Linked DNA regions of Rhinolophus ferrumequinum. The protein of the gene in region 1 purifies or fractionates together with the protein of each later gene. This does not show direct contact. Links are inferred from orthologs where the notes say so. Each region holds a gene or a part of one and is shown on either strand. Other genes may lie near its edges. The genes, in order: ADNP and ZNF644.

Region 1 (16,534 bases):
GTAGCAAAAATATTATTCTTACAGCAGGTTTTGACACTTGATGGCTACATTTTCTGCAGAGAAGTTTTATTTTTATTTTTCTGGTTTTTAAGTCTATCTTGATCTTGATTGAACAAGAACTGAGCACTCCCTGTGTTTAGGACACTCCCAGTCTCAGTTCATCTCTTTCAAAAGAGCAAGAATTCTAACTGTTGACTTAAACTGACAACTCTAATTTAAAAATCTAACAAATTCTGCCATATTTCCACTAGACAGAAGTTTCTTTAGATACACCAGGTTTCAAAAAAGACCACTCATACAGGCTCTCAATTGTTACCAGCTTTCACCAGAAAAGGAAAGCTTTACAGGTTTTCAAGGGAAGCACAGGTTTATACAAGCTCTTACATGGAGTATAAAGCACTCAGAATGGCAGAAATGGCAGAAGGGCAAAAGCCAGCAATTATCTGTCTAAGCAAAAATAACTGCTCACAGGGGAGAAAGAACAAGGCTGCCCTAACTAAAATACTAGGAAAAGCAAGGGACCCTATAAAAATTTTCTTTTTTGATCCTTATACAAGTAACTTCAAACCAGACATATGCTACTTCAACTCACGGCCACCAACACAATTTTCATCTATACTGTCTTGCTGGGGGTATGGCTAGCTCGCTCCTTTAACTGTGGAGCCCATCAGGGATCCTTGGGTGTTAGCTGACATACAAGCACAAAACATCACTATGAAGTTATGAACTATTCATCTGAGCCCTCATTAATCAAACAGCTCACAGGAGCATTATAAACGCCTGTGTTCCAAGCACAGGCCTGGGAACCAGCCCAGACATATTCCCGGGCTCACTTCATCATTGCATGTGGTAGTGCCTTCATTTCCCTACTTGTGAAACAGGGACAGTCCTGAGAGAATTGAGAATGGTTTATAAGATACTTGGAAAACAAAACGGGCAAGCCGGCAGTAGTAGTTTATAACACCATAAAGGCCAACAAGGGGCCGTGCACACTGACAGCTCATCTTCATTAAAGGGACCAACCGAGTCATCTGAGAAACGTCACAGAAACACAACCCAAAGCTGAGTGACTCAATTACAAATCTACACACCCTTACTGGAGAGGGAATTAGGACATGTAGGGATTTATTTTCAATTCTAAGGGCGGGTCAAACAAAGGGTGAGTCTCTTATAGATTATGTGCATGTTTTTTGAGTTAAATCTTAAACTGCAATGTATGTTCAGGGCAGTCTTCCCTGTGCGAACTCTTATCAAAAATCTTTTATGCCCTCCTCTTAATTTCCAAACGTTTATTTCTGGAACACTGCTGAAATTCTTAAGATTTTAGGATTTCTCTCACTGTCGTCTTAGAACAATGCTAGGGATCAGTAAAACCAAGGCAGCTTATGAGTGCATCTCAAAGAACAACTAAAGGCAAAGAGCAGTGAACACACATGTGGAGATGAAGGAACCCGGAACAGAAAGATTGCAAAGAATTTTGCATTTTACACTAATAGAATAAAAATGTGCACTCCCAATCAAAACTGGCATTTTACATGGTTCGCTCACATTTTATCTGTGACTGTGTGTGTGTGTGTGTGTGTGTGTGTGTATATATATATATATATATAAAATCAAGTCGATATATACGCTGTCCCAATTTGAGAAGCCTGGTAACATGTGAGGGGAGCCTTCTCCCAGTGAAGCAGAATATGGATCTCATTGAAGCTGACCCCTAACCTGGCAGATATCAAAGGTATATAGGTCATGTACAAAGCTGAGGTGTAAGGAGTACGAAGACACGGAGAGACTGAGGGAGCACCATCATCCTTCCTACCACTTTCTAAGTAACAGGATCAGGCAAACAGGCAATAAAAAACCATGAAGTCACAGAGGAACTACGGCCACTCATGCTGGACAAAACATGGATGGTTTCTTTTATAAAGTGTCTCAACAATCAAGGTGGAAAGTGCCGATGTGTAAACAAGAAACAGCTTTTGCATTCAAAATAACAATTCAGTTAATTAGTGTCGGGCTTTGGTTCATAACAGTTTCAAATGCCAAGTTTCCAAACAAACAACATAAAATGTGCAACTGACAGCGATGCACATCAGTAAAATACGGCATTTGCTTCAGATTCAATATCTCAAGCTCTTACAAAACTAAAGGACGAAAAACTAAGTTTATATGATGCCAATAACAACACATCAAGCTCTGTGAATCTAACTATAATTAAATTATTCACATAGGGGAGCAATATTTTTCGTAATCTTCATGTCTCTTTAGGCAAGTAAGTGAAAGTTACACTCTCATGGAAAGTATTTTATCTTCTGGAAGACATAACAGAGTTTCTGACCTTGTTTTAAAGTGAAAGTCCTGTGGAAGTCGAGGATGAACAAGTAGCTTATAATGCAATAGTACTGGGCATCTTGGTGTAAACTACAAATTAGCTTCTAATCTTATCAAATAAAAACATCAATTTTTAAATACTTCCACAGCATTTTTAAAAGTTTATTTTACTAAGATTTAAACAGATTATTTAAAAAAAATTTATGTTAAATCCTGATGGTTTCCTCTGCACTTACATTTCCAACTCTAAAAACGCAGAATGTATTTTATGTGTATATACATACAGACCCTGATTAATGGAATTAATCTGTCAAGATCTATTACAATTTATGCAATTCTTTCGTGTTTCTCAAAAGAAAAATACACTTAAATTCTGAAGATTTTATCTCTTCTCTATTCATCCTTATTTGCTCTTTTATAACAGAACAGCTCTATCTTCCTTATTAAACTAATTGTCAATTAAATGTGTAGCCAACATGTGCACATCTTAAATACAGACTGCTGAGTATTTAAAATTTCAAAATACTAAGAATTATTTTTAACATTTTTCAAAATTTATAAATAGTTACAAGGAAAGCAACAATTTAACTCATAGTGTATCTTATATAATGATGCTTTTAGTAATCAAATATAAATAATACATGCATGTATGTTATAATGAAAATCAAAAGCTATTTTACTTGATAAAACCCTACTGGTTGGTTATTTGGTAGCAAGCACACGTTCATGGAAAGGCCGGTTCTGATCAGAGAAACTTCATAAAGTTTTTAGAAGCTTATCAACTCTTGAGATTGGGGCATCAAAATAAGAGTAACGTAATCTGTTCAACATGCTGATGGTTAATTTTAACATAAATAGTATTACAACTTTTCCTGCACTCTGGTTTAAGGGAAAAAAGAGAAAATTTAAGCATAACAAATTCACAGTGGGTATGTTTAAAACCAATGACTTCCAGATAGGTAGGGCGAGGCCAACTGCCAACATTTTCTGTATAGAGACTATAAGAACCCAAACAAAAGATTTAGCTAGTTCAACGTAGAGCACCTCTAGTAAGATAGTCTTAAGAAACTGTCAACAAGAACCAAGATGAAGGAATTTCTACTTAAAGTTCAATTAAGCAGGATACCCATACCCCACCATCTAGTTAACTGAGGCTTTTTACTATACTTTAACGAACCCCTCACAATTTACCTAAATTCCAGCCTTCAAGCCCAATTGTTTCACCTTTTTTTTGTTTTTGAGTGTCAAAACCAGGAAACCTTTGAAACTGTAGAATACATGCTTTCCTAAGAGCTCACAGCAACTTTTCCTGTAGGGGGAAAATGGCTATTACCACTATGGACATCAGTTAACACTGTATCTTATGTATAATTTGCTAAACAAACAAAAGAATCTTCAGAAACTTCATCTCAAACAAGAAATTGTCTTCAAATTACTCATTTAAAAACTCATGTAACTGTACATCAAAGACCAAATACAGGTCAAAATCATATGTTTAACAAATACTAAGTATTTAAAATTACAAACAAGCATTTAATATACGATTCTTGCAATTATTAAATAATTGCAAAAGCAATATAGTTAAGTCTCTAATGGAATACCTGAACCAAACTGCCTCCTGTTCACTCACCAAAATGTTACTTGATAGCAAATGTCCAATGAAAAGTCTCCCTTAAGCACTAACTGGTTAACTATGTATCAAAAAATACACCCATTCTCAAAATATACATCCATTCATTTTCCCATAAATTGATCTTGATATATCTACATAAAATACTTGTAACAAAGTCTTAAAAATATCCTTGAGTATTAACAACCACTGTCAATCTTTGGTAGCAAGTACATGTTCATGGAAAAGCCTGTTCTGATCAGAGAATCTTTAAGGTATTTTAGAATCTTAACAACTCTTGCGATTAGATCATCAAAATAACACAATAGAAAACTTAACATAGTTTATATACAAGAGTGCAGAATGGAAATTATTAAAACAATATTAGCAACTTAAAGTTTCTCTCTTAAGCCATAAGTCATTTCTCTGTTCAGAACCCACAACTGCAACCAGCTCTAACCGGTTCCTTGAGGAATGTGGCTAGGCTGAAATTTTGGAAGTGTTGGCTTTGGTGGTGACCAAGGAGGAAATCTCTGGCTTCCCTGTTGCTGCAGTTCCCACCCTCCAAAATGAATATACCCACCGGTGTGAATTGACAATGTGGTCCAAAGAGCAAAGCAGGAACGGAGTCCAGATCCTCAAAATGGTAGTACAGGGCATAACCACTAGGCCACCTATCAGTTCAGTACAAAAAGTACAACCCTGTGCATCATGGTGCAAAAGCTGGGGCCTAGGTTTCGCATTGTGCATCTCACACCTATGGAAATAACAAGAGGAGTAAAATCTATAGAAATCAACACACCCTAAGAAGGTGGGTGCTCACAGAAGACCAGTGTCAACACTTTTGCAAAGGTGGTTGGCTACTGAGACAATGAGTGGTAAGTACAAGTCCAAAGTTGGAAGGAAACAAAATTTTACAATAAACTCTGTTGAGTTTGACAATGAAGAACTCAACATGGGCTTGATGTTTACCAACAAGGCTTTGCAAATCATGACACCCATCTACAGGCTTATGAAAATTACTACCCCACTAGCATCCCTCAAGAATAGTTAACTCTCCAAGAGTTGGAAAGATTTGGGCCATGAAGAAGGGAGGTAATCGGCAATACCCCAAACTCAGGCTTTAAACTTTCCCCTTTACCATCTGACCTTGGGAAGATATGGTGAAACATTCAAAGTTTAAGGGTGGAAGAATTCCAGAAGGGGAAATCTGTGTACCAAGGATGTGCCAAGGTGATTCGTGAAGAACAAATGTGGATTGTCTGGAGTCAACAGTTTGGAAAAAGTAAAAAGACAGAACTTCTGAAGTGTAGGTTGGATTCTTTTAAAGATATAAAAATCACTGCTCTTGACTCATTTAATCCTTCGCCATGTTGCTGCTGTCAGCTCACCAAGAGTGCAGAACGTGTCTTGCTGGGCCCATTTTCCCATGGTCTGTAGAAGGCGCTGTGAAGCACATCCTGTTCTAGCTCTGGGGCCCTTCCCCCCTCTGCAGCCTTACCCAGTGCAGGGAATGCGCCCCCTACTGACTCCAACACTCATCGCCTTTAGCCGACTTGGCTGCGGTGCATTTTGGGTGGGGGCTGGTATTTTCTTCATGGCCATAAACCAGAAGCAACAATGCAGATTTATAAAGAAACTGTATCAAGCTACCCAGGAGATTTCTTTTTTTTTCATTTTGAAGGTTCAAGGCACTGGCACGAGAAGCATCAGGAATAGGAATTGGGTGTGTGTGGATGGACAGCATTAAAATGGCAAGCACAGGAAACAGTTTGGTTCTTTTTCCCTCCTAAGCCTTTGTCTGAGAAATGGGGTTATGGCAAGAACTGTCCAGAGAAAATGGTGAATGCAAGAACATCAAGAAGACTTAGTGTGGGTATGTGTGTGGCTAAAAAGGATATTAGACCTTAGCGCCTGGTGTTGGGCAGAAGAGGAAGAGAAGCAATCGCGCCTTTTCCAGCAGACAGACATCCAGGTTGGGGGTGGGGAGGGGAAGGCAGGCAGGCAGCCCAGAGGAAAGAAGAGGTGAATAAAAGGGTGCTCAAAGAAGTACTCCCCATTCATTGCATTAAAAAAAAATCTTCTCGCAGCGTTCTGGATTTCCATTTTCTACCATCTTATTGCAAAGTTGGGGTGCACAATGATTCTAAGAGGTCGTGCTGACCAGGCAGCTGCGACTGAGTGAAGAGGGTGGTGGTGGACTCCGTGGTCAGGATAGGAGGGGAGCTGGCATGTTGGGGAGGAAAGATTGCACGGGAGAGGTAAAGACTTTCACTCCGAGCCATGCATGCTCCCCGCCCCCCATTCTGTCCCCCTCCCCCCCAGCTAAGGGTGGGTAGACCAGGCAGGAGGCTCGTCGCAGGCACTGGGGGTGTGCGTGGGGGACTCGTTGAGGGGGGCGGGAGGAAAGGATGAGTTCCAGGGATGGGAGAAGCTCGGTTCTTGCTGGGGGCGGGGTGCAGGGAGATGCCATTAGCGGCAAAAGCTCCGGTGGCCAGGCTGGCTGGTGGCCTCCGCGGGCTCTCGGGGCGGGGAACGGGGGTCGGGCTGCAGGAGGAGGCGCCTGGCCCCCGGAGCAGAGCCGGGTAGCGGTCCGCGCGGAGCGGGCGGTCCGTCAGCCCCGGAGTGTGCAAAGGAGCGTGTGTGGTTGGAGGGCTGGCAAGCTAAACAACAATGCGCCCCCGGGGCCGGCTCGGCGGGAGCCGCGCGGACCGAGGGTCGGGAGCAGGGCCGGATCGCGGGGCCGCGCGCGGCTTACCTTGACTCGGCCTCGAGGCGCGCACGGGGCCGGCGTGCTCGGGGGCCGGGCGGCGGCGGCGGCGGCGGGCGGATGGCGGCGGCACGGCGGCGAGGGCGCGCCCGGGGCCTCGTCGCGCTCTGGCTCGGTGGCCTCGTCGGGCTCCGGCTCGCGCCGCGGCCGCGGCTGCTGCCGGGGGGCGCGGCGGGCGCAGCAGAGCGGCGGGCGGCGGCGGCGGCGCGAGCGGCTCCCTCCAGTCCCCGCGCGGGCGGCGGCGGCGGCAGCAGCGTCGTCGAGCGGTGCAGACAAAGGAGGGGCGGAGGGACGAGATGGAGGGTGTGGGAGAGGCCGCTTCACCGGCGCGGGCAGGCGGGCGGCGGTGGCCGCGCTCCTCTCGCTCCTCAGTTGCGGGGACCGAGAGAGGGAGCTGTGTCTGAGGAGACGCCAAAATCCCCCTTAGCGCTGCCCGCGGGAGGGGGAGGGGGCACAAGATGGCGGCGGCCGAGGGGCGGGAGTTCAGCTCATGGATCCCGGCGGGCGGCGGAGGGGAGACCGGGCCGGCGGAGGCGGCGGCGGCAACGGGCGGGGGAGGGGGCTGATCCCGCGTCTCCCCTCAGCAGACAATACAAGCGCCTCGGAGCGAGTCCCCGAACCTGCCCTAGCCAAAATGGCGGCCGAGAAAGAGCGGAAGTGACGTAAGTACCTCATTAGCATAAGAGGACTCATTGTCCAGCGAAGTGGGGGGGCAGTGAGGGACAGTACCCTTTCCCCACATGTCCCCCAGGCACAACTCTCTCGCTCTCCTGTGCTTGCACCTAACTTTTCCTGAGGGAGGGTGGCACCGGCACCCCTACCCCTGCCTAAGGGAAATTATATAATCCCCAGTGAGGGGGAACTCTCGCGAGAACCAGGACAATTTGCCATTGACCCACTAGGAGGCGCCGCGGATAATGGCCGCAGTGCGCTTCCAGGGCCCGTGTGCACGGTGGGTGCCTTCCTCTGCCCGCAGCGCCGGCGGCGGAGGCACAAGCAGAGGGCCGCAGCACGCCCTGCACTCAGTCAGGTGGCCGTGCTGGGGATCCCTGCGCGGGCCCAGCTGGGCCTGGACTACATCTGGCGGGAGGGGGCGTGCGGGCAGCCCTGCGGCTCCACGTGCTGCACGGCGCGGGCTCTCACGGGCTGGGCAGCAGCGGCCGGCAGGGATACCTGGCAGGTTGTGCCGACGCCTCCAGCCTTAAATGAGGTGTGAGGGCCTCATGCTTCACACACCGACTTGAGATGAGCCACTACCCCAGGGATGCCTGACCCATTCCTGGTAGGGTGGGCTGTTCAGTGGGCAGGGTCTGTGTTTTACAGAAGGCAGGCTGCTGCCCTGAGACTTGACGTTCTTCCAAGGCCGTGATGGGCTCTTCTCTTTGGCCTGAAGAAAACAAATGGGATCCCTAACGCCTTGAGGCCACTGGGCTGGTGAAGCCTAAGGATGAGAAATGATGTTTCCAATGGACCTACCCCACAATCCTTAAAAAACACACTTTGACTACAGTCCTAGGGACACTTTTAGTGCTCCCACAATCTGACAGCGTAAGACAGCATCTAGGCAGTTTGCCTTTGTAAATGTAGGCCAACCCCAACCAACACGTTGCGGTAACAAACCCACCTTTAAGAGCAGAATGCATCTAAGAGTGTATCATTGACTAAACATACTGAAAGTAAATGCCAAGTGTGAAGGATTAACCAAGCCTGTTTCCTTAAGATGTGCTCTGTAAATACACTTATCTTTGCTGTTTCTCTAAATTTCAAGTTAACATAGTTTCAAACTATACTTAACACCCCTAAAGAATCTTAATTGAAAAATAGTACAAATTATGGTTACATGTATCTCAATGCCTACGCCTTCAGTTGGCAGGTTTAACAAGCTGTTTCATCCAACAAACACAATATTCCATTAATTTTTGAAACTGTGATAAAATAATATCCTTAAAAGCCAAATCAGTATTCCAAAGGAAAACAAAAGCTGAAAAAAACTGTAAAAGAAAAGGGGGGGAGGGGCAAAGCATCTGATTTAGGGACAAAGATGAAGACTCTAAATTCCATGTTGCAGAAGACAGGCAAAAGCTAATGTGAAATAAGCAAAATAATTTTATCTTAGATTTCATACAGTGATAATACAAATACAAAGAGAGAACATCTGGATTTCATCCTTGGCCTCATTTACAAACTAAAAAGGGATGCTGGATTCACATGTAAATGATTTTACAGTGTTTAAGTCACCACATTTACTACAAAAATGAATCTAAATAGTTCAATATTCTTTTCTAAATAACTTCCAAATGGTGAAAGTCTTCAATGCTCAAATACTTTCTTTACTGTAAATTCCAATAGTGATAGCGTTGTTTTGTAAGAATAAGAACCAAAAAGATTAAAAAGGCAAAAGGTATCTACTCGAGTGAGGTCTGAGAAAGCAATAGGCCCAGTGGGTTCTCTGAGGTATTTAATAGTTACTTCATCTCTGCTACACCTACTTGACAGTAAAAACTGAACTTCGGGTTTACATGAAAAAGAAGAGATTCTAAACACTTAAAAAAAAGAGAAAAAAGATTATATTACTATTATGTTCACTTAAAACTAATTTTACATTGAACAGTGATGAATTTTCTAGTCAATAATGAGAGAAGTCGCTTCCCCAAAGAAGGTGAGTACCTGGTGGGCTGCCACCCAGCTCAGTGTAAACGGGAAATAAATAATAGTAGAGGCTTTTATTGGAATGTGTCCTGTGGATTCAACAATGGAACATGTAATGTTCAAAATGACACCAAAGGTTTTATACTCTGGTATTCATTTCTGGTAGGATCTGTTAGAAATGCAAATGGAAAAATCAGACTTTAAATTTCTTGACTTTAGCAGCCAAATTAAGCCAGAAAAGTGTAGTAATTAGGAATACTGTCCATTAAATATGCTTATTAAATAACTTAAGAGATGCTTCTTCCTTTTACTTGCAAAGGAAAGTCAACTTGATCTTAGGCTTATTTGCTCACAGTATGTATTACCCAAAAATTTAAAAGATACTGCATGATGCAAAAACTATGCTAGTTAGAAACAGATCTTTTTTGAAATACCTACTTGAGACAAGGCAAACAGAATATTTGCGCTGGCTTTATTGAACAACTTAACCTGCATTTTAACTGTCAGAACACTTCTGAACAGAGAGGAACTATAGAGAATTTTTGTCTTATTAGTAAAGATGTTGAGGGTCCTGAAATAATATGAAAAGAAATATTTTGAGAACAAAATCTTTGCATAGTTTGTAAGATGTTTTAAAATTACTCGAGCCACTAAAGTTTATGCTTTAATACCATCAATATTTTCCCTTACTGATAGAAGTTATTGCTCAGAAGAAAAAAAAGCAGCTGTGCTATCAACTGCTGTCAAGTTATTTCTAATTCACAATATGTATTTTAAAGACTTGCTTTGACAGATGAATAGCTTCGGCAATTCAACAGCTACAAAGAACCAAATTGTAAAATTATGCTCTAAATGTACTGTTTTATCTGTTTAAGAAATTTGAGGTTCATTTTTAAAGAAAGGGCAGAGATGTGTATTTCTTTTTCAGTTCATACAGAAAGTCATATAATATTTCATGAATATAATTAGCATTCCTATTCTGACATCTGCTAAGGTACAAAGAGCTATGAATCCAGTTTTTATAAAGAATATTTCAAAATCTTCCTCCCGTAATAAATTCTGCATTCACATACTCTACGAAAGCAATGTTTTATGCAAAAACCCCATATACATTTATTTATAGGTCTTAATACAGCAAAATGTAAATGAAAATTGAGAACACTGCTCATTTTTCTAATTTGACATATAAAATGGAGTTTCTTTAGAAAAAAGATTTGCGTGAAATTTACCTTACCTTATGATTTTGCTCTAAGAGTACATATTATAAAACTCAGCAACCAGGCAGGCTTCCTTTATGTTTAAATTGAAATGAACATAATATAAATGCATAACTTTCTTTTATGTAGTAGCAAAGAGAGTCAATAATCCTTTCAGGAAAGAGACTATTTCATTTCCTCCCAACTTGGATTCACCATAAACACGATCCACAAATGATATTGGAACCTAGTTAAAAAAATAATACATTAAGTCAGTCTTCAAAAATATTAGAAAGAAAGCATAGCAGGCATGCAAAAATTACTAATACAGCAGAAATAAGATTAGTCCTACAGTAGCAAGTCCTTCAATTAAGTTCAGAATTAGGGGACTCTTATAGCAACTGTGTGCACCTCCAAGTCTTCAAACATGCATTTTATTACCTAAAACTAGACCATATGAACCAAGTCGACAACTGTTTGAGGAGTATTGATCCTGCAGATTAAGTTAGTTTACCCAAGTTTCAGACTGCATTTCAAGGAAAAATTATACTCCAAAAGTAAAATGTCCTTTCACTTAATTTTTTTCATTAGTCCATCAAATTAAGCTGTCACTGTTTTAGTATTAAGTTAAAAATCTTATAATTTCCACAAGAGAAGTGGCATTCTAGTCAGCTATTTCTTGCTCTGCATAAGAGTATTAGTGTTAAACGAGGAGAATCTGCCCGAAGTTCACTAGCTAGCTGTAAATATTACAGACCCTGCCCCCGCAATGCCTGTCTTTTTCATTTACTCATAGGAAATGGGCAATGGGTGTCATCATCCATTTTAAAGTAGGGTGGCTGTTGTCTATGGCAAGAGGAAAAGCAACAAATCAACTCATCCCAGAATGCTAAGTGAAAAAAGGGCAAGGATGGAGAAGGTACCAGTAACTTTTAAATTTTTAAAAGGGAATGCTGCCTTCCATTACTGTTTTAAATCTTGTAGGTCAAATGTATTAATTTGAAAGGGATGTGATTGTTCACTCTTTAGTGTATGGACAAATTCTAAACAACTGGAAGCCCTCCAAATTTATTTAGTAGTTCTGAAAGTTAAACATTTTATCATACAAAGACTAAACCTCATTATTTCTTTATGAGGAATACAACACACTAATTACCATCAATTGCATACCTCCCCAATAGAATAATTCAACTGTCTTGCCCGAACAATCATCTCCATCTGGAAGACGTAGCCTTTAGAAACACATTTTTCTATTAATTTCTGTAGAACTTCTTTTCGGTATAACCTGTACAAAATCAAAATATATATGAACACCTGCGTCAATACACCTGCCTACATGTATCCTGACCTTTCAAAAAGTTCACTGATATTTCTAAAACCTAAAATTTTCAGTAGCCATTTGGATATAGAAAAGTTCTCATAGTAGATATGATACATTTGTCCTGAACCAGAAAGGTCATGAACTATTTTGTAAATAATTTAGAATAATTTTGAAAATGTGTTTAGCATCTTTTAGAGAATTATTTTCCTACCATACTATCAGAAATAAAAATATGGAAAACTGAATCATTTGAAGCAGAACCACTCATTGAGTTTTTAAATTTTCTTAAAATTTACTTTTAAAGTTGAAAGAAGAGAAACTGTTTCAAATATTGGAATAATAGAGGTGATAGGTGAAGAGCAACAATATAAACTAGATGACAAGAATCTAGTAATCAACAAGTGTTTCCTCCTAAATATTTACGGTGAGTTTCTATTTCCTAAGGTCTACTAAATAAATTCCTGGGATAAACGAAGTCTCCCCATGATGAGCCTGGTTAAGCTAGGTTAAGACAGGAAACTGGCACCACGAGATTGAGGCCATCATGGTAGGACACAGATATCAGCCATTGAGGTCCCAGTTAGATACTTATAATGGACAAATGTGCAGCCTAACTTTAGACAGACTGCAGGCCAAACACAGAGCCCATTTTCAGTCACTGAAGTGAAACGAAACACAAATACAACAGCGACAACAAAAAGCCCCCCCAAAATCAGTCTCAGTCAGTAAGAAGGCAGCAGTCTCCTCCCGCCTCCCTTTTAGAGCAAGTTAGGAGAGGCATTTTGGGTTAACTGTTCTCTCTGGAGTTAAGTTCACCTGGATCTACAATGCCCGAGGATTTTACCTGGAACCCACATTTCCTCCCCCCCCTTTGCCCCCCCCGCCGGCTTCCTCTAAGGCCACCTTGCCTTTTGGCTTTTCAAGCTTTTAAGTGAATATAAGACAACAGAAAGCACATTCCTTAGAGAACCTGAGAAGGACTAGTGTGTGCATTCTTTTGCCCACACAAGTTCTTTAAGAATTCAGAAGAACCAGTTTAGAATATATCTGAAGTGACAGGAGTCTGATGGCGGCTGTGAGGCACCCTGGCCATTCCTCTCCGCGCTGTGTTTTCTCCACAGCACAATCCCCACATGATGCTGCATGTATTTTATGTAGTCGTAAGTCTCTTGTCATTAGAATGTGTAAACTCCATGAGGACAGGGACTTTATTGTTCAATGCTTGGCACTCAGTAAGTATTTGTTGGATTTAAAACGAATCACCCTTTAGCTTTTCTGAAAGCATCTGCAGAGCTTCCAATAGGTGAAAGGGCCCTTTGATGAAGTAACTAGGTGACCCAGGCCTAAAAGCAAGGCCCCCAGCTCCCCAATCCATGAAGCCACCCTGTGTTTTCATTCACTCATCAGACCTGTGGCTGCGAAGCCCATACTGGCCATTCCCTCTGTAGACACGTTGTGTTAGGATTCTCTGCATTGTTGCTACATGGCAATCAGTGATCTTATCAGATAACATTTTATTCCTTTGCTTTGAACTGCGGAACTAAAGGGATGTGTTTATGGGCCCCAATCTGTCTTTTATACACCAAATTCTGCTTTCTAATAAGTTTACATTTTAATTCTAGAGAGGCTTCATTTTCATTATTTGACCTCTAATTTGTGATGGTTCCTCTCTTTCATTTTTTGTTGTTCTTGGCTCATAAGTACTTTCATTTTACTAAGTAAGGACATTAAAAAAAAAATATTCTCTCTTCACCTCTGTCTTGCCATCTCTGAACTGATATTTAACAGACTTGCAGCTGTACTACAAATACTACCGTGTTTCCCCGAAAATAAGACCTAGCCGGACAATCAGCTCTAATGCGTCTTTTGGAGCAAAAATTAGTATAAGACCCGGTCTTATGTTATATCATATCATATCATACCCAGTCTTATAGTAAAATAAGACCGGATCTTATATTAATTTTTGCTCCAAAAGACGCATTAGAGCTGATTGTCCGGCTAGGTCTTATTTTCGGGGAAACACGGTAGTTACCTTCAACAGCCAGCTCCTAATTGGTGTGTGTCAATTCTAACGAAGGACTGAAGAATCAACATTAGTGGAAAAAGCAAATATCAACTAATATAAATTATTAATGCATAGGGTTTGGGCCTTAAAAATAGATGAACGAACATAGTTTCAGAGATAAAAAGAATTTGGCAGTCTTTAGTCATTTGGCATGGTCATGTAAAACAGTTCATGTACTATAGCAAGTCTCACATTAAACAAGAATAACAAAAATTAAGAAACCTCAGAAACCTAGCAGGAGGCTTTGTGCCAATTAAACAAGAATTTTGTTTTTTTTAACATAAAAAACATATAGAGACCAAGGTAACCGAAAAAAATTCTACGTAAATATTAAAGATTTTCAACTTTTCTGTAGAGACAATGCTATAAATATTCATAGAAAGTGCAGAGAATTCCTGGAAGCAGTGCTGTTCTTTGGAGCACGTGACCAGTGAAGCCTCCTGCAGGATGAGCAGGGACTGGGCACCGTGGGCCAGGGGCCTCCATCCCCAGGGGCTGATCATTAGACGTTAACCTAAGCCCTGCCCTCCACGGTGCTCTGTAAAAAGCACAATTATTTTGCTTAAGATGATGCTTACGGCTTCCTCAGCAGCTTCTAAAGAACTTCAGTCTGCCTCTTTTTTTGTTCCAGAACAAAAAATGGGGTAGAAATGAAAAGCATTTCTTTAAAATAAGCCATTGTAAAGCCAAGAAATTTAGGCAAGAAGTTATAAATAGTAGAAAATATAAAATTACACGTTTTCACTGTACCTGAAGCTTCCTGTTAAATCAGATGCTCCCGGTCTCAGCAAAATCTGAGTTACAAAATTGGCCCCACGGCTGTCAAATACAACAATCAGATTTTCTTTATAAATACCATTTCTAAACAAGAGAAACACATCCAAGAGCAGAGTACTAAAAATGCTACACTAATTTCATAAATAAATGCAACACTATTTCACAAAAATGTTCATTCTGTAGAACAAGGAAATTTTTAGTCAGTGAAAGGAGATCTGACATTTCTGATTTTTCAGAAAATAGGGAGTTTTATTCATTGAATATGACATTCTGTCAAACTTTAGCTATGAATGATAACAGATTTTTTTACTGGTGTATTTGCCAATAGCCATCGTTTTGGAATTCAGAACATCAGTCAGCCAGCAAAAGAGATCAGAGATTTGGAGTTTCCTTTTCAGATTCTAATAAGCACAACGGGATAGGAGTTTCAACTAGGTAATAGGTCAGTCCACATAAAAATGGCACCTTTTATTTCTTAAAGAAGGTGTGCAAGTGGGAGAGGGTTTTTGGTTTTTGGCAATCTCTGGAAATTGACCAAATATTCATTCCGAGACTTACCCTGTTTCCCCGAAAATAAGACCTAGCTGGACAATCAGCTCTAATGCTCCTTTTGGAGCAAAAATTAATATATGACTGGATCTTATGTTACATACTGGGTATGTTGTATTATACCCAGTATTATATTAATTATATTATATATTATACTATACTATATTATATAAGACTGGGTTTTATATTAATGTTTGCTCCAAAAGACGCATTAGAGCTGATTGTCCGGCTAGCTCTTATTTTCGGGGGAACACGGTAGTCAGCTTGGGCTACACTATATAACGAAATACCAGGTGAGCTGGCTGAAACAACAGATATTGATTTCTCACAGTTCTGGAGACTGGGAAGTCCAAGATCAAGGTGTTGCTGACTTGGTTCCTGGTGCTAGCTCTCTTCCTGGCTTACAGGTAGATGCCTTCTTGCTGTGTGTTCACATAGCGGGCGGGGGGAGGCAGGAAGCCCAGCTCTCTGGTCTTCTACAAAGAGTACTAATCCCACCATGAGGACCCCACATTCAGGACCTCATCTAAACATCATTACCTCCCAAAGGCCCCGCCTCCAAACACCAACACTTTCAGGGTAATGGCTATCAAAAATGGATAATGGCTAACAAAAACATTTCTCCCCTCAATTTGCTTAATAGCTACAAAAAATCCTAGGACATAGTTTACCCCTCCAAATGCATTTAATGAAAGGAATGTGAGTGTTTTGGTATGTATTTGTACATCTAGTTAAGGTATTTTTAAAGTGGGGTCTTTAAACATGCAGCGAGAGTCAGACTTAGGTTCAAATATGTGGTTCTGGACCACATAAATAAGACCTTGAGCAAGTGGTAACAATCTTTCTCAGGAGTTTATACTCTAAGTCAGTACAGACATTAATAGCTAATGACAGACACAACTGATGAGCCAACTGAAAGTTGTAAATTGTCTCTGACTGGGGCTCCCTCATTTTAAATAATAGCTGTCGTGACCAAATTGAGAGGCCTCAGAGATCACTGTTGGTCTCAACCTTGACTGCAGTACAGAATCAGCTGGGAAGCCTGTGAAAAATACTCATGCTTCTTGTCCCACCTCTGGGATCAAATGGTCTGCACTGTGTGTTGCGCAAGAAAGGGACGATGAATAGGGAGCAGTTGTGTATAATTTTCTCCCTACATGATTCCAAAGTTCAGCAGGATTGAAAACCAGTTTTATTCAACCCCTTCATTTCTCTGAAGACTGAGACTCTTAACATGTTTTAAATGATTTGCCCAAGGTTCACAGTTAAA
Region 2 (16,518 bases), on another chromosome or scaffold:
TCTCTCATTTTTGATCATCTCCATCATATAGCTAATCATAGAACACGAATATTCCCTAAATGCAACTCTTTCTTTTTAGAAGATTCACAAAGTTTTTTAGTATTCTTCCAGAATTTTTCTTATTTTGCCTCATATTAATTCACTTAAATATTAATTCAATATTCATTCAAATGCTCGTATACATGGATTAGGCACCTTCCGACATAGAATATCTCACTCTCACACACACACACACACACACACACACACACACACACACCATAGAAACCAAATTCCCTAAACTGGATTCAAGCCAGTCTGTTATCTGGTTTCAAGTTATAGCTCCCATTTTAATTCCCATCACTTTGCAGGAATGTTCTTCGCCATAACACTCTTTTCTCAGCTATCCTTTAAGGCTCGGTTCAATTTCTACTTTATCCTTTCTTCATACTTGTACAGAACTTACTATCTGTATCTGTACTGCTGAATATAGTATATGTGGCTATTGAGCACTTGAAGCCAGCTAGTCTGAACTGAGATGTGCCTCAAGTACAATACACACACACTGGATGCTGAAGACTTGGTGTGAAAAAAAAGTGCAAAATATCTCAATCATGTTTACATATTATGTTTTGGATATACTGAGTTAAATAAAATGCATTAATAGAATTAATTTTACCTATTTCTTTTTATTTTTTAACATGGCTATAGAAAATTTTAAATCACATTTGTCATTTAGCATACCTCTATTGGGTAATGCTAACCTAATACAATCTATTTATAAATGCCCCACAAACTATCTTTTATATGACTGTAAAAATGAGTGTAAAAATTCAATATTAAGTTTTTTCCCCGCCATAAAGGATTATTACATTAGGAATTATTAATAGTAACTAAACTATTAAGTGCCTATTTTTAATATCCTTTTTAAAAAGTTTAACAAAGAAGCTTAAAGCATTGAAAAGTATAAAAATTTAAGTTCAGTTCTCATACAGCTATAAATTGAAAATGTCATCTACATTTTACATATAGCCAATTTTGAGTTAAATGTCTCCCCAGAAAGGATAGTTATTATTAAACCAGCAGCATTTCTAATCCCAGATATATTATTTCTGATTAAGCTATTTTTCTTCTTAGTCACTCCGTAAAGAAAAAGGCAGCTTCCATTTTGACCAATATCATTGTACCAATGTCCAACAGCCCAGACAAAGAGCCTTTATATGGTGGTATGAATAAACAATGTGGGCAATAAGATACCATTTGAAATAAGGGTAGGCAAAAAAAATGCGCTTACAATGTTAAGTTTTATAAGTAGGAGATAAAACTTACAAATTATATAATTAGGTTAAAGGACAAATACATAGAAAGGACAGGAAGGCAGAATAGAAAGTCTCATCTGTAGAATCAAGATAGGCCTAGATTCAAACTTGGCTGCTCTATTATTTACTAACTTTCTGACCCGAGTCTGTTCCCTTGCATGTAAAATGGAAATATACACATCACAGTATTAAAAAAAAGTATCAGTTTTATCTCCCTTTCCTTTAACACTAATGATTATATATATATATATATATATATATAAAATGGTGATTAAGATTATGGGTGAATTCCCCCCTTTATTTTTCAAACTGCTGAAAGTATTTTTTAAGCACAATTAAACTTCTAGTAATTCACACTCACACCCCTCAAGTGAACTTAAAATTACTTTTACTAGCTGCCTTTTATATTTTTTTTTTAACTTAAAATTTGTGTTGGTGGTAGGGAGGTAAACAGAAGAAAAATTAAAGGGAGAAGTAAGTTTAAGGCCATACCAGCACAGACATATACAAAACAAAGTGTGGTGTGGAAAATGGTAAAAGGAAATGCTGTCTGAGAAAAATCAAGCAACGAAAAGATAACATGCCTCTCCAAAATCTAGCTACTGTTGAAGTCACTCCTCACTCTCATCTGGGGTTTACATGTACATTACATACAAATACACATAGTCACACACCCTCTTCTCTCTGCTAATGGTCACCACCATCCTCATGATCAAAAATTTAGAGGGAAGAAATTCAGGAAGCTGTAACCAAAAAAAAAAAAATATGTATCAATACACTGACTGAGAAATAACCTAACTAAAATGTACCCATTCCCAAGTGCATTTATTCATCAGCTGACAGTCATAAAAGGGAAATGTGTTCCTGAAATACTGAACTGTTAAAATGTTAAAACTGTATGAGGCACAGTGTGATGCCTACCTCTGACTTCCTTTATAACAGCATTCCCTTTGTAGATAGGGATCTAAAAATGAAACACTGACAAAAGTACACTAATCCAAATCACATGTGAAAATTTCAAAAAATAATTAAACAATGGCAATTACTATTATAAAAGATAACATTTACTCAGCATTTGCTGTATATCAGAAAGCTAGTAATACAGTATTATTGTTAAATCCACTTACCTACTGCTCACACAGCTAGATTTTAACCTCACCAGTTGTACTTCAAGGCTTACACTTTCAAATCTTATCTCATCCTGCCTCTTTATTTACATGTACATAATTAGAAATGCAACTATGATTTTCTGTGTATATATAAACTTACATATGTTTGTGTGTGTACATAATATTCAGTAAGTCGATAGTGAGCAACAGGCAATTATCCCAACTTTGACAAGGTTTTTATCTACTTTCACAAACCATTCAACAACTGGGAATCACTCCCGCCCCAATAAATGGTTTTTTGAAAGTACTAGTTATATTTAACATCTTCCTCAAGAAACTGATGAAAAAGATATGCTTTTGAATAAAAGGATAAACACCATGGAAGGATAAAAATGTTAATCTTTTAAAAAATTTGATCAATAATTGATAAAATATAGGTAAATGTGTTTTGTAAACTATAAATTAATCCTAACATTAGTTTTGTTTTGTTTTAAATAATAAGTTTGGCTCATAACATTTACGTTTCTGGATTTTGAACAAAGTCTTAAAAGCTGTATTTGCAACGTCAATGAATGACACACACAGTAAAACACTTAATAACCTAAAATTTTTATTTATCACTAACCAACTTCAATTGCACTACAATCTAGACTAACTAATTTGTTCCTTAAATTTCAAGGAACAAATCAGATCTATACTTTTCACAAAGTTATTCACAAGATCACAGTTCCCAGAATCCCAAATGAATGGGAAGGCTACAGCTTGTAGATGCAGTAGAACAATGATTAGTAAGTAGAGGGAGAGTGTAAAGGAAATCTCTTAGAAACACTAACCATAATCCAGTCTCACCTTTCCCCATTCAAGAGAAGTGTGCACTGCTGCTGCTTCTGCCCTGACATTATCCTCCTTCTCTCCCTTTTGAAATCCTCTGCTTTTCTCCTCCTGGGAAGTTATCTCACAAAACTTGTTTTTCTTGCTAAAATCTCTCAATTGTCAAAGGATGTCTTCAATTTAAAAGAACAAAAACATACCAACTCCCCATAATCACATTAAGAGTTCCCAGTAAATTCAAAGAGAATAGTAACTCCATCGTTCAACTTTGGCAGATCTAAGAAAAAATTAAATTTAACAGGAGAGCAACTGAGGCCCTAGAGATGAGATGAGAAAACCTTTTTCATAGAGACTCCACCTCCCTGAAGAGAGACTATGAATTGAATTTGGTGTTTTATCATCTAGGTCTCAAGTGATCTTTATGTTTTTGTTTGTTGTTTTTTTTTAAGAGGGGAAAGAAGAGAGATACTTTAGCCAACCAGCAGGGTGAGCTAGTGCTAGAATTTGTTTGATTATTCTCAATTCTCTCAAAATTCAGTGGTGTAAATGGCTTACACTATTAAAAGCAGCTATTTCCCTCTAATAAACCTAAAGTAAAAGACACTACTTCTAGAATTGCTTCAATCAGTGCTACATCTCATTAAGTTTGTTTAATATTTACAAAACAAACATTCTCTATACCAGAGGGATTAATAAATAAATGTAAAAAAAAAAGCTCATTTGAATATTTATTCAAAATATTACAGTAGCCATCTTTTATTCTCATGGGTTTTTTTTATTTTATAGGGCAATCGATGTTTTTAAAAATTAAGAACACTTTTTTTAAAAGGACTCCTAAAATTAATGTTCTATAAAATTAGGACTGAGTAATTCAACATACCAATTTCTGCATTCAGTGCAAACTACAGCTGCCTTAAGATCTGCCTGCAAAGCAAGCAGTCACGAGAAAAACATTCCTACAAGAATCAGGTCCACTCTTTTCCTTTGGAATCACAACCTGAGAAAGAGTCTAAATAAGTAACTCAAAACTCTAACTGTGTTTGGGATGAGAGAAAGGTGAATCTGATCTTTTCTGACAACCAATTTCTCTCAAGTGCAGATATCCCAATCACTTCTAGTGACTGTCCTTCAGTCTTTCTTTTCTCCTCCTGCTATCCAAAACAATGTCAATTCAACCACAACCAAAACTCTCCCCCTTATAACTTGAATGACAAATTAAACCTGCAAAATTTTTAAGGTTTGCAAATGACAGATTCACTTTATAATTGTAAATATTCTGGGAGTAATTCTAATTATCACAAGACTAGCGTGTAATTAAATCCACTCATATAGTGTTGAAAATTTAAAAATAACTTACCAACTTTCTTAGAAAAGGCAATAATTTAAATGCACCTTAAATAAAAGCTTTAAAACCTCCATACAACTTAACCATTTTTGTTAAATTTGATATCCAAAAAAGTTCAAGATAACTATGGCGTTCCACTATAAATGATTTTACTACTTGTTGAAAGAATTTCCTAATAGATTTTACAGAACTACTACTCAGTAGCAGTAGTCTTACGTTGTTTCTAACTAGAACCAGTATTAAAAGGCATGTTAACTTACCCAACTAAAATACAGTTACAAAATGAAAGGCACTAGCACCATTGTTTTCAGCATCTCATTTCTTATGTAATAACTGGTAATAATGGCAGTTATTTCAAACTTTCCAAGAAGTTTATCAAGCTACCTTTTTTTTTTTCTTTTTTTTAAATCAAGATTGGGTTTTGAGGGGCGGCCGGTTAGCTCAGTTGGTTAGAGCACGGTGCTCTTAACAACAAGGTTGCCACAGGTTCGATCCCCGCATGGGCCACTGTGAGCTGCGCCCTCCACAACTAGATTGAAACTACTACTTGACTTGGAGCTGATGGGTCCTGGAAAAACACACTTAAAATAAATAAAAGTTTTAATAAAAAGATTGCTTTTTGAAAACCCCCAAATTCAAAAGCAACATTGCTCTGAAATGTGTTATTTTTTATCTGAATTTGTTTCACTGGAAGTATTTTAAAAACTAAGTTATCATATCATGTTAAATGTCTTTTAACTTGTCAGTTCTAATAAACAGCACCTAATTAACAAGTATTCTCAAACACACTTCCTTGTTTTACTTTTTAACCATTATTAGTTACAGAGTCACCTTCTCATGCCAGCAACATAACCAATGAAAACAGCAATGGGGTAGAAGTTGAGAATTTTCCATTATGCCACTAACTTAATCATCTCTGACCTTCAATATAGCATAAGAGAGTAAGACTAGTTGTTCGAGATTCCTTCCACTCTAAAACTGTGTAATTCAGTAATACATTTTGCTAATGCTAATATTGCCTATTTGTTAATACAAGAAGACTGTTCTCTGTTAGGAGAAAAGCTAAAAGCAGGGAAATCTGGAGGGAAAATAAAAGGAAAAGGAAAATTTTAAATAAAGTTGAAAAGTTCAACTTGAAATTTGAACAGAGATCTAAAGTTAGTGATCGAAACGTGTTTAAGTATTCTTTCAGTCACTTGAATAATTTTGTTAATGTGACATGGTCAAAACATGAGTTGTTTCCAAATTTTGTACTTCAAAAATTAGTTAATACCAATATACAAAGTATAATGCAGCCATTAAGCGCAGTATAACTTTGTTAGAAATTCTAACATTTACACTGCCATAATTTTAACAGCAATAGATATATACCATGGCATTAATATTAGTCAAAACTTCATGTTACACCTATTAAAATGTCTAAATTATAACTTTTTCATAAAAACTATTTTTTTCTTTCCAAACCTACCAATGCAATATTGCTGCCATCAAGTTCCCTGGATACTTACACATGACACTGAAGGCAAACAGCCGGTTTCCTCGCTTTGAGCAACTTGAGTTGTCTATTTTTGAAATGCTTTACTTCTTGCAGGACCAAAAAATATAACCAAACTACTGCAGAGAGGCAATGTACTAGTAAAGCAAATTTAATCTATCATCCGGATGCAACAAGCCTGGCATTAGTCAGGACTGGCCAGAATAGATGATGGTGTTTTGGTATTTCTGTTGAAATTATTTAATTTGTATACAAAACAGGACCATCATTCAGGCCCCCAGTTGAATTTATCCCTTGTTGAGTACTTCTCAATGACCACACAAAATTTGAAGTCTAAACATAAAAGTTCTATAACAACTAAATTTACGTCAGTATTACTTAAAACAGTTCAAGAAAAGTTTTCCACTAATGTTGCTAAACCATGGATGGATCCCAACACGAGAGTCGTCTGCGGAAGTCTCGTAACAAGAAACCTTTAGCTCCACCACCTAAGTTTCCAATCACTGAGAAGGGTCTGGGACAACTCATCTTCAGGTTCACGGGAGAAGTGGAGCACACCTGCTTTCCTCTGGCAGAGATTAAGCTCCCAGGGACACAAAGGCCAGGGAATCAGACCTGGAGAAGCAAAAAGCTTTAGCTGGACACCCACCAAGCCCCTGGCAACCCAAACACTTTGAGCGATTTACCTCTTGCTGCTACTTCCCGGACACCTAGCGGCATAAGATCTTGCAGAACAGGGGGAGGGGAGGGCTATGCGGTCCTGGTCCCATGTTAGGGGAGGGATGTGTACAGTTAACGCTAGAGCTGGCGCTTCTGGCCAAGCCGGGGCAGCCACGAAGAGAGGGCTTGGTGACTGCTCTCGGACCGCCCCGTTACTCAGTGCATTGCAATGGCGACCGCCAGGCTCCCCAAGCCGCCAGATCTGGGCCCCTTCCCCCTACTGCTCACTGGCTGCTCGTCTTCATGTGACTAAACAAAACCCCCAAGTCTAGTGCCCAGCTCAGCCCCTTTGTGTCCGCTACCGGGTCCTCCGACGCCGCCGTGGAAAGGTCCTCCCCCTACCGCCTCCGCCGAGTCCCGCCCAGCGGCGGCGGCCGCCGCTCACCTCAGGTTCCGCCGCCCCCCGCGGCCGCCGCGGCCGCCACCTCCCCGAACCCGGGGCCCGGGCTCCTTGTATAGCACCAACTCCGCCTCCTCGGCCGCCGCCGCCATCTTAGCCTGTGCGGCAAAATGCGTCCTTTTGGATGGTTGGGACCCAGCCTAGGGCGTAGCTCCCCGGGCCCAAGCGCCGAAGGCCGGGTCCCCCAACTTCTTCCGCCACCCTCAGTCCCGCCGCCGCCACAGCCCAGAGTCCCGAAACCCACTCGGGTCCCGGCGAATCCGACCAAATAACCCCTGAAACTCACAGTTTGGTGCCGTGTGCGTCAAACCGGGGCGACGTTGGGAGCGCGCGGCGTCCCCGCGTCACACGCTGCACTGTACGCTACTCGGCTCCAACGGCCCCCCTCCGCTCCCCGCTTTTCGCCTCCGGCCCCGGTTCCCACGGCGCAGGCGCGCTGCTTTCCCGCCTCTACCGAGCTGCGGGCCGCGGGGGTGGCCAGTGAAGAGCTCTTGGGCAGCTTCGCGCTGGTGGAGCTCCTGGGCCAATTAGACAAACCGGGGAGCAGAAACAGTGCACCTCTGTTGTCGGGTGCCAGAAACCAAACAAGGTCACCTCCCCCAGCGCTGACCTAATCACTCTCAAGGAGGTTCCCGCCCCAAAGTAGGCACGCTCCAAATATGGTGGTGCCCAAACTCTGCAAGACCCAAACACTTAGGCAAGCCTAGGCTCTTTAAGGTGGAACAGGCCCATATTTGATTTCCACAATCACTAGCGTGCCAGGATTCCTTTTCTTTTCCTACTGTTGAGGAAAACAGCTAAAGAACTCAAGTTGCCAGTTACGACTGCAGAGTAATGGCAGAGGAAGGTTTTTGGATTTGAAGGGGAACAATTATTGGGAGATGCTTGATGGCCAGGCAAAGCATCAAATGTGGCATCTCAATTAGCGGAACAGCCTACCCTCAAAGGTGCCCTGGGTTTGGTCCAATTTGAGTCTGATGATACTTTCTCTCTGCATTACTGAATGTGCATGAGTCTCCAAATTAAAGCGATATAAGAAGCACCTGAGCGAGCATGGGTTAACCTTCAAAGAATCAGTAGGCCCCAAGAGAGTTCTGGAAATCTTTCTTTTAACAAGCATCCACTATGGGAGTCTGAGGGCAGAGTTTCACACTTTGAGAAACACAAATTAGAGGCTATTTCTGTCTTTGCTTTTGAACTGAACAAACAAGAAGTTGCTAACATGTTTCATATGAACCAAGTTCAGAGCAATCTTCTAGTCCTGCCTTAATAAATTCTTTGGCTTTTCTGAATCTCTGTTTTCTCATTAAAAAAAGGAAAAAAGTTTTCATTAGTTTAGCAGCTATCATAATCTGTGCTCCTCCAAACCTTCAAGATGTTATTGGCATTCAGAAGAATACACTGTAATTACACTTATTTGAGAACAGTAGGAAACATTCTTTTTCCTATAAGATAGTGACTTCAGCAGCAGCAGCAGCAAACATAGGTTCCAAACAACAGATACATATACTTGCTGCATTCGTTTATAATAATAGCTAACACTTCTGAGCGCTTACTATGTGCCAAACATTGTTTAACTCATTCCAACCTAATAAGGGAAAGAGAGGTTAGGTAATTTTTTCAAAGTCACACATCTCTTTGGACTCTTTCAAAATGCAATTTTTCTTTCTTCACTTACACAAATCGATAAACAATAAAATATTAAAAAAAAATTTTTTCAGCCAATGGTGGGGTGTCCTTTGGGTCATTTCATCTACAGAATCCATTAAAATTGGACATTCTCAGTTTAATACTGACTTACAATAAACAATAAAAGTACTATGTACTATGGATATACTCACAATATTGTATCACTACAGAAACAGTTACCAACAACAAAAAAAACTCAGTTGTGGATGTACACTACTGACTGACTGATGTGCAGACAGAGCATACCACAAGAAAGTAGAACTACTTACAACTCAATCATGATCAGACACTTATCTCACTAATGAAGCTGTTTATACTAGAATTCAACAATTAAATGGCAATACTAAAGAAATAGTAATAGTAGTAACTGTAATAGTCAAAGTAGTAATAGTTGATGAAATTTTATAAACAAAATATATGTCAAAAAACTTTCTATAAGTGGGAGAAAACTAGATAAGGGCAGAAAGCTTGGATAAGGTAATGTGTAAAGAAATTGTAAAAAGCAGGCAAACTGGAAAAATCCAAGAACCAGTTATGTGGCTCAATGCCAAAATATTTAAAAACATTAAAAGGAAATTGTAGTTGAGAACGAAAATCAAGATGTAAAAAACAGTTTGGCCCCGAGAGAAAATTCACAAAGCACATCTACTCACTATAATAAAATAGTGCTCTGATGAATTCACCTGATGAAGAATCGAGAGAGAGAGAAAGAGAGAGAGAGAGAGAGAGAGAGAGAGAGAGAGAGAGAGAGAGAGAGGCTGAGAGAGCGAAAGAAAGAAAGACCTGGCTATTGTTAATATGTTAAAATCTGACAATATTAGACAATATATGAATCCATTAGTTATTCCAGTGAATGGAATTACCCAATAAAATATTCAAATAAGCTGTGGTCTCAAATGACTTAATCAAAAAGGAAATGCAATTGTTTTTGTTGGATAAAAGCAGGTAATTCTCAACATTCCAATACTTCTGAATTCCAGGCAAAAAGAAAAAATGAAACACTTGATTAATCTACCATCCTAGTAATAAAGTCAAGTCAAAATTTGGATTTGTCTTAGGACCTCACAAGAGATGGTTCTGGACCCATCTCTGAGTACCAAAAGTGCAAGGCAGTCTCATCTGTAAAACTGCAAATATTATAATATGTTCATTAATTAGGGTGGAGTAGGAGGATGTTTGACATAGAGAGAGATGAAGAAGTAAATACATCAAACCTTATTTTTGTCTCACGGTAACCTCAGCACAGAGCCTTACACATAATGGGCATACAATAAATAATTCAATTCAACCAATATTCACCAATTGCTTACTCTATGCAAGGTACTGTACTAGGCACTGTCAGCAAAAAGAGAAATAAGACAGTTCCTTGTACATATTCAATACGTAGTTGTTAAATAAATGAGGAGCTTTGTATAGTCCAATAAAAGAACTAGACAAAAAGGTATCATCAACTCTCAATTTACCAGGGTATGGGAAAGATGAGGAAACAGAAAATAAAGATTTCAAAATCATCGTTAAACAAAACCTTGTAAAACAGGGTACAAAATAGGTTTAGTATAACTATATTTAGTAAAAATTATATCTAATATTTAAGAACACATTTATTACTCTAACTCTCAGTTATCCGAAGTAGACCATGAGAGTATATGAGCTTTTTCACAGAGCACATATAGAGAAAGTAAACAGTGGGCCACAGAAACGTAGATAAAAAATATTTAAGGAATTAGTAGAGAAAAAGTCCAAGAAAATAAGAAATGAAGGGACAGAGGAATAAGAAGAGATTCAAGCAAGAGTGTAACAAGCAAGAGCCAGGGAGCTATTGGTAACAGCTTACTGCTGCAACAAATAACCCCAATCTCCATGGGTTACCATAGTAAAGTTTTTTTCTTATTCACATCACACTCTACTGAAGTCAGTGGGAAGCGGGTGGTGGAGGCCTGGGAGCAGTTATTCAAGCACCTAAGGTCCTACCGTTATATACTTGTATATGCCTTTGCCATCCCCTTAGAATCTTCTACTGGATCCTCTGCAAAGAGAGAGAGAACACACGTGGAGAATCATGAGTGTGACAAGGTGAAGTGGCCAAGCCCGGAAGTGGCACAGGTCACTTCTCACTTTCCACTAGTCAGCACTCTAGTCAGCACTCTAGACAGAGGTTGGGGAATGTAGTTAGGCTCTATGTCCTGCAGGAAAGGAAATGGGACTGGTGGGCACAAAACAGGGTTTCTGCACATCCTGTGTAAATGTAGCAGAGAGGTTATGAGAGATAAGTGGTGTCCATTGGCTATACAAGATCACTGGGGACCATGGTGTGAACAAGATCAGTGGAGTGGCTCAGCCCACTGCAGTGGATTTGGGAAGAAAGGGGAAATAGTAACTGAGTCTGATCAACTTTGGAAACCTAGCAACTGGACTCACAAGGCTGAGAGACAAATGGAGGCTTTAGTTAAATGCCACTGCTCCAGGATTCTTGGTAATTAATCAGCCAGCCTTCTCCTGTTAAGATAAAAACTCTCACTAGCCTTCTTCAAACTCCACACACATTAAACTTAAGAAATGCCTTCATTGTTTATTTTTTCCAAAGTGAAAGATTCCAGATGTTCCGGAATATTTGGTTGAGATCCATCCAAGGAAAAAGGGCATCTGTAATTTCAGCGATCCATGTGCTTTACTAAAGAAAATGAACGTAAAATAGTAAGCCAAAATATTACACTATATGTGTTGATTTCCTTTGTTATCAATATTGAGAGATAAAATTGTACAAATGTGTTTAATTACATGATAATAATTAGCAATTGGACTTTGATATCTAACTTAATTGTAAATGAAATTAAATGTCTTCAAATTGAAACTTAAAATCTCTATCATGTATTATTTACTTAAATTTTCTAAATATATTGTAAGATGGAAAAGAATGGTGGTTGCAACCTTCAAAAATAGATTTAGATAACAATTAGTCTGAAATAGAAATACAGGTCTAAAAATTAACTTGGTGATGTCATCTTTATTTTTCTGATCCATTTCTCTTTTTATTCCAGAACATTGAAGTGTCTCTTACAAACTGTCAGATCCCTTCCTGATTGCCATACTTCACCCTCAACATAGAATGGCTGTGGTCTCCAGGAGGCTGATAAATTTAATCCTTTTTTACCCAGAGACGAAAGATGCACTGAAGATACAGACCCATCATCTCTTCTAATATTCTTGCAGTGCCTACAATGTTTCAGGCATTGTACTGGGCTCTTGGACAATGTAAAAATAAATAGAACACATTCAGCTCTCACATATCTTATAGTAAAAGAGATCAAAAGTCATATACTCAAAGTGCTATTTGCAAGACAACAAGTGTTGGAGAGGCTGTGGAGAAAAAGGAACCCTCATACACTGTTGGTGGGAATGCAGATTGGGAATGCTATGGAAGGCAGTGTGGAGGGAGGTTCCTCAAAAAAATGAAGAATAGAATTACCATATGACCCAGCAATCCCTTTCCTGGGTATCTACCAAAAATATCTGAAAACACTTATGCATAAAGACATATGTGCTCCAATGTTCATTGCAGCTTTATCTATGGTGGCCAAGACATGGAAACAACCAAAGTGTCCTTTGATAGATGAATGGATAAAGAAGGTGTGGTATATATACACAATGGAATACTATTCAGCCATAAGAAAAGATGAAATAGTACTGTTTGCAACAACATGGATGGATCTTGAGATTATAATGCTAAGCGAAATAAATCAGACAGAAAATGTAGAGAACCATATGATTTCACTGATATGTGGTATATAAAACTGAAAACAACAAAAGAACAAGACAAACAAATGAAGAAACAAGAATTCATGGACATAGACATAGTTTAGGGGTTACCAAAGTGTAAGGGGGGGTTCTAGAAGAGAGTGAACAGGGTCAAATATATGGTGATGGAAGGAGAACTGACTCTGGGTGGTGAACATACAATGTGAGATACAGATGATGTATTACAGAATTGTACAGCTGAAATCTATGTAACTTTACTAACAATTGTCATGCCAATAAACTAATTTTTTTAAAAAAGTGCTATTTACGTTTTAAAGTTGACAAAGAAAAGGTCAGCTTATTGTTCAACTAGTGCCTCAGATAATGATGAGAATGCCATTGAGTCATTTTCCTCTATGGTTTCACTCTTAGTTTTGCAGGTTGAGAATCAGTTAAACCAGAATTGATCAAGCTCAGACACATGAAACATATAAAAGACTAATGTATAAATCACATGTGAACATATTAATTTACAGTAAAAGTTTTGACTGTCAAACACAATGGTATACGCAGGCAGACTGGTCATCACGTTCCCTCCCCTGTAGAGAAGGGTGCTGGGAATACCAAATTATTTGCTCAATGAGCAAAGAATTATACAAAAATGATCTTAACAGATGGTGTCATGAAACTTTGATAGCAAACTGCACTCTGCCATGAAGACGTACCTGTCAAGGGAAGTTGAACATGTTAGTCTGCTCTCACCAGGAAAATAACTCTTATTTTCCTTAAAGATATGTAAAAATACATTAAAACCACAAAAAGATAGAGTATTTTATAATCCATAATGTCATCAATCCTGTAACACTTTTTAAAAAATATTGTAACATCTCTGAAATCAAGATGTGTTTTACTATAGTTTGTAATTGGCAATCTTTTGCTTTCTTAGGGGTTCATAAAATAATGGCATATCTTTCAATCAGTGATATCTTAGAATAATGGCCTGATGTTTCTAGAAACTCCTCTAATTCTGTTTTGGTAAATTGACTTCCATAAACTTAGTAGTGGCCCCAATATATCATTCTTCTAAGTTTAAAACAATGTCAAGCTTTAATCTCCTTAATTCATACTCTGATCAGGCCGTTATAATTGAGCTAATTTCCCAAATGCTACAGAACATTGGAGGACAGTTCATGCCAAGTTCTTTCTTTGCTCCTTAAGTAACCCAGAAGTAACCTTCACAGTTACTTTGACACCACTTGTTGCTGCAGACCTCTTAACAACCCTGCACAGTTCCTTAAGGGAGTCTCATGTATGCTCAGGAATAGGTCCTACCAGTTACCTCATTACTCCCCTGATACAACAAGCTATCTTCAGTGGCTACTGTGACCTTCTACTAGAAATGACTGCCTCCCACATGGCACCACCATTTGGGGCCAGGCACCTCCATACCCATAGCTGACAGTCTGGAATACACATGGGAGTAAGACATCACTGGGATTGTTCATCTAAACTTTTATTTCTATAGACTGATTTTTAAAAAATATTTACCCACAGACAATAGTTCAGTGGTTACCAGAGGGTAAGGGGGGTGGGGGTGGGAGATGAGGGTAAGGGGGATCAAATATATGGTGATAGAAGGAGAACTGACTCTGGGTGGTGAACACACAATGGTATTTATAGATGATGTGATACAGAATTGTACACCTGAAATCTATGTAATTTTACTAACAATTGTCACCCCAATAAATTAAAAAACATATATATTTATCTACTATGTGTCAGGCTCTTTACTAGTCATTGAAGAGACGGTAGTGAAAAATCCATACAGTCACTATGTACAGTTGTGGAGTTTGTGCACTGCACAAAGATACTCAGCCAAATAGTGAATGGATGCTAAAATCCAGCCTGTTCTCCACTCACCAAATCATGCCCCTTAGTACAGGGCTGAATCTTTCTTCAGGAAAGGATGCCTTCTTTTTCCCACAAAACTGTCTTTCCTTCCAAAATAATCCTAGCACCCAAGGGCCTACCTCAGCCTATTTCTAATTCTTCTGCTCAGAGTGTCACCTGTTTCAATCCCCTGCCCAGGGAAGGTCTTTTTCTAATTCCTCTTTCCTACTTCACACAAAGGGAATTGATAGGTCAATGGGTCCTAACTACTGAGTCCCTGACCTCAAGGAGCTTACATTCTAATGGAGGAGATAAACAAAGAAAAAAACATTGTATAAGTATAAGATAGGAGTAAGCACCCAGTAGCACCTCAGAAACAGCAAGAAGGAGGACCTTAGCCAGTCTGGGGACCAGGGAAGGCTCCTCGGAGAAGGCTGTCTCTGACTAAAACCATCTTCCCACTCCCTCACCGGGGCTAACTCCTACTCATTCTTCAGGTTTTAGTTAAATGTCCTTCTGTCAGAGAGGCTTTCCCCCACCCCCTCACCTCACATCCCCCCAGCACTCCACACTTTTCCTTTGTTTCACTCATCTTACATGTACAGTCAACTCTACTATGACTAAACAAATGGGGCCCCAAAAACTCGGTTTTGTAAATTATAAGGTCATATTATTATATTAGGAAGTAACGAAATGGCTGGAGAGAGCCTACATAGTTTGCTGGCTAGAGCTCCAGGGGACTGGCTGTGTGCACAAAATCCACCCTGGTCTCAGCTAGAGTTGAGAGCAATCTGCTGGTACCTACCTGACTTCTCCAGCTTGAATACACTAGGTATGATTCCAGGTCCTATGACTAGCTGGGAATTCCAGGATCGCAGCACTGGTTCCAGGAATCTCCCAGTCACTTGACATTCATTTCGTCTGTTGAATCCAGAAGGACTGGCTTGGGAGAACACTGAGAATGCAGCATCTCACTTCCTCCATTCCACCTGCCTCTTCCCATTCCAGGCTAAAGCCCACTGCATTTGAAAATGGGAACTCGGCAGAGGACAGGATTAATGGTCAGGTGCATTATAGTTGGTTTGTGTTATCGGGGAACGTGATTTTACTCTATGTTATTTTCTACATCATTGTAGATATGAATTTTACTATAATTACTTGCTTAATGTCCACCTCCTCCTCTGGACTATACACTGCATGAGGACATGTTAGGTGTTCGTATTACCTCCCTTACTCATAGTATAGTTAATTCATATTAATTGCTTAAAAAGTATTTGCTGAACTGAATTGATGTTATATCTAAGTTGAGACCTAAATGACTTTTAAAAGCTAACTGGGGAAAAGAGTAGGGGAAGAGTATTCTGTGCAGAGGGAACAATGTGGAAAAAGCCGAAGAGCAAGAGTATGTGGCATGTTTGGGGAGTGGCAAGTAATTCATATGGCTAGAGTATAGCACATTCATGGAGAGTGAGGAGTGGTAACAATTGAAACTGGAAGGGAAGCAGAAGTCAGATAGATCTCAAAGGTCGAGAGACTTGGACTTTCCCCAAAGGCAGTGGGAAACATTGGTGGATTTTTAAAAAGAAATTATGTGATCAGATTTGCATTTTAGAAAGGTCTACAGTGTGAACATTTTACTGAAGGGAGTAAAACTTGATGCAGAGAGAGAGAGAGGGATATTTTCGGGATAGAGCCTGGTGTCTGTATAACGATAGCATATGTTAAAGGAAATTGTCATGTTCTCAGCCCACACAGAAAGAGTCCTCAGAAGCCATGCTTTGTACTTTGTAAGCCTGTTCCCTCTAACACTTGGCTGCAGCTGACTGGGCCATAGTAGGGAACCTGATCCAAAGAAAACCAAATTCATAGGCTGACAAGTGGCCTATGATATAACTGGCATGGAAAACAGTAATCAAGACAGTGTGGCATTATGATAGACAAATTGATCAACGGTAGAGGATAGACAGCCTAGGCATAGACCCACAGATACATGGTGAATTAATTTT

Evidence for each region.
Region 2: the proteins of ADNP (region 1) and ZNF644 purify together in Homo sapiens (affinity purification with mass spectrometry; 3 studies listed by BioGRID and IntAct, with this or other methods). This does not show direct contact. The link is inferred for Rhinolophus ferrumequinum from reciprocal best matches to the Homo sapiens genes ADNP and ZNF644.

The regions. Positions count from the first base shown.
Region 1 is NC_046306.1:8,843,620-8,860,153, reverse strand, and holds the start of ADNP (activity-dependent neuroprotector homeobox protein), read right to left. Parts: upstream 6,858-16,534; 5' UTR 6,696-6,857; intron 4,695-6,695; 5' UTR 4,521-4,694; intron 3,538-4,520; exon of another isoform or gene 3,520-3,537; intron 1-3,519. Other genes in the region: DPM1 (dolichol-phosphate mannosyltransferase subunit 1), read right to left, coding at 10,695-10,799, 11,723-11,837, 14,689-14,757.
Region 2 is NC_046292.1:68,783,965-68,800,482, forward strand, and holds the start of ZNF644 (zinc finger protein 644), read right to left. Parts: upstream 7,770-16,518; 5' UTR 7,485-7,769; intron 7,410-7,484; exon of another isoform or gene 7,184-7,409; intron 7,027-7,183; exon of another isoform or gene 6,765-7,026; intron 6,694-6,764; exon of another isoform or gene 6,092-6,693; intron 2,042-6,091; 5' UTR 1,973-2,041; intron 1-1,972.